2 linked regions of the Saccharomyces cerevisiae S288C genome follow. Changing the gene in region 2 together with the main gene of any one other region gives a genetic interaction. Each region holds a gene or a part of one and is shown on either strand. Other genes may lie near its edges.

Region 1 (2,754 bases), on a different chromosome or scaffold from region 2:
CCTAGAGTAAAGTACCACTAGCCATGCAAAAAGCCCATGTACTGAGCTGATAGTCGTTACCAACCCTACATTTTTTTTCTGAAGCAATATAAGTGTTACCCGAAAAGTATGAATATTATTTTTTCTTCGTACCGTTATATCTTTTTCTGGTATATAAAGCGGTGAGTTTAGAAGAAGTTCCTGTGGTGCAAGAATCTTTATTGGTATTTAAAAAATCTTTTCTTTTCCTTTTTTTGGTTTTTTGAAAAAGGGTAATAATGTCTTTTATAATAGACACCCAGAGTCACGATTCGTCTTGGTTTTAGAGATTCTGTTTCGACAGTTTTTTTAGGCGGTGGACGTATATAGTTTACTTAATCGTTTACTATACGGTGGAGTACTAATACTATTTCACTGTCGTGCTCGCGGTTGATCTTAGATAAATATATTTCTTTTTCATAAAGAAAGTGAGTGGATCTTCCCTGGAAGTACGAATAATGTACTTATGATTAGATTCTCTTCACGCACATACCTTTTTTTTTTTTTCAATTGCTAGTTCATACATACGTAGAAAGAAGGGCCAATTGGAAGCCTCAACTGTCCCCTGGTGTAAGCTTTCGCTGTTTCATCTTCAACTCAAGAAGCGAAGGTAGCGGACAGCAGGGTGACCGTGAATCTTTTCCATTGTCATTGTAAAATTTTGAGCAGCAGATGTACAGCTGATCTATAACTTTAGCGCATTTAGCATCATCGTACTGATGTGATAGAAGGCAATCTAAAATTAATGTGAAAAAACGTTAGTGAAAAGAAAAAAACGATCGAATCTTTTGAAGTTAATATTACAAACCTTGGATGGCGCAGGCCTCCTTCTGGCATGGATTAGACATATTTACCTCTTATTTGAACAAATCTCAACAACTAAAAAAACGCTCAATATCTTGGAAAAAAAGAACAGTAATATTCTGTCTCTCCACACCCTCTTCTGAACTCTCATATACACCCCATGGGTGAAAAGTAATATCCGTAAAAGTCTCGCTAACGGATGACGTTAACAACGCACGCCCGCTCCTTGCGAAATTTATTGTGGGGACGTCGTTCACGTGCAAAAGTCGCCAAATATTAGCGACGGGCAACATCGGAAAAACTCTGCGCCCGCGATTCCGATTGAGATGTGTAATTTGTAGTATTGAACGTGACAGGAAACAAAAAATATCAAAACGCTAGCAAGGTTTAAGGGGAGGGGTGAAGAACGAACGATAGGATACTGCACAAATCAGCAATTAAGAAACAATATACAAAAACCCCCAAAGTGGTCATGTTAAGGAGGGCATTTTTCCGCATGGAAACGAAACGTGGGCATGACGTGGAAGCGATGATCCGAGCGCTTCTGCTACTGTGGTGACCACCGTACCAAAGGAGGGGTAATAAGACCCTGTGCCCTTTGCCAGCATACGTGTTACCCCCCTCAAAAAGAGCTGGCTGTTCGAGCTAGCTGCTCTTTCTGTTGCCATTCCCGTACCAAGAGCGCCCCGTAGCTCGATTTTCAGCACCTTGGTGGATATCAGGGGAATTTTACCGCCGCAAGCGATCAGCGTAGAGTGCGCACAGAAAACAGACAGAAATGACTGAAGCGGATGAAAAAAAATTTTCTGGCGCGGCCCAATCTCCGCGGAAGAGTCATTCCGTGAAATGAAAACAAAAGACGCGCATAGTAGGAGAAAGATTATGCAGCTTGATAGCGGGTTATCATACCAGCGTTAATGACACCTTCAAGTGGGTAAAGTACCCTTTGTTATCGTTTTCTTGGCTACGCGGATAGACTAATTTAATTGATATATATGTAGCTAGACACGTTCATAATTTTTATGCTCTAGTGCATGTGCCTCTTACTCATTATTGTCAAAAATTTTTGCATGTAATATTTGTTTTCCGTAGTCATTCAGCACTAGCCTGTTTGTTAATATATATAGATAGACAAACTAATGACAAGGAGAATTGAATTTCTCATATAACACATACAATAAAACCAAGAAATGTCTTCAAACTATGCCACTCCTTTAGACGATGAGGTGTTTCCCTTATCTTTTGCCAATTATCAATTTACCGAGCATGTGTCACTTGGTGAGCATTATTCACTCAATACTTCGGAAGATGCCAAATATAATAATTTGAATGGTCCTTTCGTGGTACCGAGAGACACCGGGAAGTTCGATTTGAACACAAGTTCTGCCTCGGACGAGACTGTGTTCTCGTTAGATAACCCTCAAGAAAACAACTACAAACACCAAGCCATGAATAACGTCCAGGATTGTCGCATGGCCGTCGCGGCCAAAACTACCCAGTCGTGTGATAAATTGACCGATCTTTATGCCAATGCCGCCCAACAAAACTACAGATTGTGGCTGTCTTCATTTTAGAATAACGATTAAGGAATGATAATCAAAAGAAAAAAACAATCTACCTACATATATATGCACTCAACATACATAAATACACACGCATTATTGTTTCTATAAACTTCCAACAGACAATATTCCCATACAAACATCAACTAACTGATTTCCTCTTCATACGCGTTCGCTTCACGTGATGTTCCTTTTCCATTGAAAGGAGAGCTCATCACAAGAGTTACAATGGGAGTGGCGGCGCACCGTCTGCTGACAAGAATAAGTGTAAGACCAGCTACCGGAAGAAAAAAGAAAATAAAATGGATACTCTGTGTCTCCGAATGCCCCTATTTGTTGTATCCATTGATTGTTATCCTGTCTTCTTCTT
Region 2 (3,796 bases):
CCCGTGGAGTGGAGAGGCGCTATGGGATCTATGAATCAGGTTTCTATCAATCTAGGTATCCTGCTGACCCAAACCTTGGCACTCAAGTACGCAGACTCCTATAACTGGAGGTGGCTTCTCTTTTCCGGATCCGTGATTGCGGTAGCGAATATTTTAGCTTGGCTCAAAGTGGACGAATCTCCAAGGTGGCTGGTGAGCCACGGATTCGTCTCGGAAGCTGAAACTGCTCTGTTCAAGTTGCGTCCAGGAACGTACCAACAAGCGAAGCAAGAAATTCAGGATTGGCAGCGTAGCCATGGGCACAACCGCGACCCGGAGTCAAGCGAAGAGACTCATTCAGGACCCACACTATGGCAATATGTTACCGATCCCTCATACAAGAAACCGCGCACAGTTATACTCGCCATCTTGTCGTGCCAGCAATTTTGCGGCATCAACTCTATTATCTTCTACGGTGTAAAAGTGATCGGCAAGATTCTACCGGACTACTCGATTCAGGTAAATTTTGCCATTTCCATCCTCAATGTCGTTGTCACTCTAGCAGCATCTGCGATCATCGACCACGTCGGGCGCCGTCCATTATTGCTTGCCTCGACTACGGTGATGACCGCCATGTCGCTGCTGATCAGTGTAGGTCTCACCTTGAGCGTATCCTTTTTACTGGTCACGGCCACTTTTGTCTATATTGCCGCATTCGCCATCGGTCTGGGACCCATCCCCTTCTTGATCATTGGTGAGCTATCCTACCCGCAGGATGCCGCTACAGCTCAAAGTTTTGGTACTGTGTGCAACTGGCTTGCCACCTTCATCGTCGGATACCTCTTCCCGATAGGCCACGGCCTCATGGGCGGCTACGTATTTGCGATCTTCGCCGCCATCGCTGCCATGTTTGCTACATATGTGTACAAGCGTGTACCCGAGACAAAGGGCAAGACTACATACAGCGAGGTTTGGGCTGGCTACTGATCTGTAGCCAGTCATATATACCTAAGCAACTATTTTTTACTTCTTTCTAGCTATTCATCTGTTTTTTATTTTCTTCTTCTTCTAGTAACGAACGGCTACATGAGTATATGCACTCATTTAGTTAGTATCTATGTATATGTACGGAACTAGGCAAACCAAATGGATTGCTGTTGTATGAGATCCGTGTGGCGGAAACCATGACTACCGCTTGTACTGCCGGGGCCAAAATAGCACACGCGCGTCATGAGTCGCTCACGGGCGAGCGTCTATCTGCATATTTTCCTGAGCCCAATATTCGGTTCTGCGTCTTAGCGGCATAAATGCATCCGGCAGGACTGCCGAGAAAAGGAATATACAATGGCAGCCCTCTTGGCGCATTTGATGTATGCGGATTTCCAACCAATCTGCGAATGCATCCGTGCCAAAATGAAACGGCATTTAGCTTGAAAGAGTCGGAATTCCTGCATCAGATGGGTACCATTTTACCACAGTCTTTTGACTCACGCAGAGTACTCGCGTGCAATTGCTTGCAGGTATAATATATACATATATATATATATATATATATATATATATATATATGTACAATTTGTATGACAAGTGGGTGCACCTTTCTCGGTCGGAATTATATGGGGAACTAATACTACGGGTTAGAGCTATAACAATTTCTGCACACTTTAAAAGCGTTTTCATTTCATTTCACCACGTATATATATAGCCTATATATATATCCGCACTAGAACCAAATGGTCAATAGTAAGAGGCAGCAGAGAAGCAAGAAAGTAGCGTCATCCTCCAAAGTGCCCCCCACCAAGGGGAGGACATTTACTGGGTGCTGGGCATGCAGATTCAAGAAACGCAGATGCGACGAGAATAGACCAATCTGTTCACTGTGTGCCAAACATGGAGATAATTGTAGTTACGATATCAGACTTATGTGGTTAGAGGAGAACATCTACAAAGTACGCAAGCATTCACTGATCAGTTCATTACAGGCTCGCAAATCGAAATCGAAACCATTGTGCCAGAAAATCTCAAAATCAAGGTTTAAACAAATGACCCATTTTAGACAACTATCACCCCCGACAAGTGACTGCGAAGACAGCGTGCACGAGGCAAGTAAGGAAACTACGCTTCCTAACGATAATACATTCACCATAAGCGTACGGAGATTGAAGATATACAATAACGCTGTGGCCTCTGTCTTTGGTAGCATGACAAATAGAGATTATACTCAAAAGCGCATAGACAAGAAGTTGGACGAATTGCTTAATATGGTGGAAAACGACATATCTGTGGTCAACCTCAATTGCTCCAAACACGGGCCTTACTCAGTTTTCAGGGCCAATCCGGCTGCAGTTACCTCTGCTCTTACAGATCAGCTGCCGTCGCCGGGTCATTCGATGTCGTCAGCAGAGGAAACCACTACTGCAGCGCTGTCATCGCCGCCAGAAGACAGCACCTCTTTGATCGATATTATCCAAGGCAAAATTTTCGGGATCCTATGGTTTAATTGCTACGGGAACATGATATTGAACCGACAAGAATACACGACGTGGTTCATCAATAAGATGAGGAACTCGTTGACCACGGAATTCATACGCTTCCTTGGGAAAATAATTGACGACCCGGACATCAATATGGCCTCGTGCCTGTTCAAAGAGTGCATCGCTCGTTGGAGTTGTGTCGATTGGCAATCCATAGCTATAACAATGCTGGTCATCATTCATGGATATACCTGCCCCAACTTGACAAAGCTTCTAAGAGTGTGGTTTCTCCAGCAAAAGCTATTGAGATTTTCGATGTATCCGCTGGTCAACTTTATCATAAACAATACACAAGATTTAGACGTCCTGTACCATTGTAATGGATTGCTAGGGAATGCCGACTTATTCGAGGATCCCTACCAGGACGAGCTTACGTCGGAGTTACATGTCTTGGTCACGGAGCGCCTAGTGAATAGTTGGAAAGATACAATATTGCAACAACTTTGCTCATGTCAAGATACCACACTTTCATGTTCCCAACTGCGGTACTGGCAGCTACAACTGAAGTGTAATCAACAATTTTACAAGGATGTATATGCCATGCAGGACTAGGCTTATTGAGCCTTCCCTTCACTCATTTCAAGAAAAAAAAAGCCAAAAGCTTTGCTTGGATATTATACCCATTTTTAACGACATATTTTTTCCCACTACTTTAGATAGAAATTCATGATATTTTGTTTTATATTATATATGTATATATATATATGCACGAAAAAAAATTAAAGTTTATCACTGGGAGATAGGGTTTCCTATCTGCCAGGGTGAAACGTTTATTTTACTGATTTCTTTGTCTTTACTGACATTTATCGGATATCTATCTATCATTCTGAGCCTATGCTTTTTGTTAGCCGTAGACTAAAAAAAAAAAAAAATTGAAGGAAAAGAAATGAAAAAAGCAAATGAGTTGCAATTTTAGTATATTGTAAAAGAGTAACCACATAAAAAAACTAAACAAGAGCCGGTGCAACGGCATTACTCTCTTAGATAAAATTGCTAGTTATATAAAGTCAGGATACTCTTGAGCTATTTTTATCATTTCTTTTGGGTACAACAGACACACGAAGGTATAAAAATAAAATACATTGATGAATCATCGTGATGTGCACTCCAGATGAAAACGATTACAAAACATCAACTGACCCAGATACATCTGCAAATACAAATCATACTCTCGAAAAAAAGAAGAGAAAAAAGAGAAAAAACACAAACGTGGCATGCGTGAACTGTTCGAGATTGCATGTGTCATGTGAGGCCAAAAGGCCATGCTTACGATGTATCAGCAA

Evidence for each region.
Region 1: mutations in THI2 (region 2) and CMC4 together harm fitness more than expected from each alone (negative genetic interaction), as found in Saccharomyces cerevisiae (one large-scale study listed by BioGRID).

Annotation. Positions count from the first base shown.
Region 1 is NC_001145.3:652,022-654,775, forward strand, and holds CMC4 (Cmc4p), read right to left. Parts: upstream 867-2,754; coding exon 827-866; intron 755-826; coding exon 573-754; downstream 1-572. Other genes in the region: ICY1 (Icy1p), read left to right, coding at 2,013-2,396.
Region 2 is NC_001134.8:699,759-703,554, reverse strand, and holds THI2 (Thi2p), read left to right. Parts: upstream 1-1,712; coding exon 1,713-3,065; downstream 3,066-3,796. Other genes in the region: VVS1 (Vvs1p), read left to right, coding at 1-966; ERT1 (Ert1p), read left to right, coding at 3,612-3,796. UniProt on the Saccharomyces cerevisiae protein: Positive regulator of thiamine biosynthesis.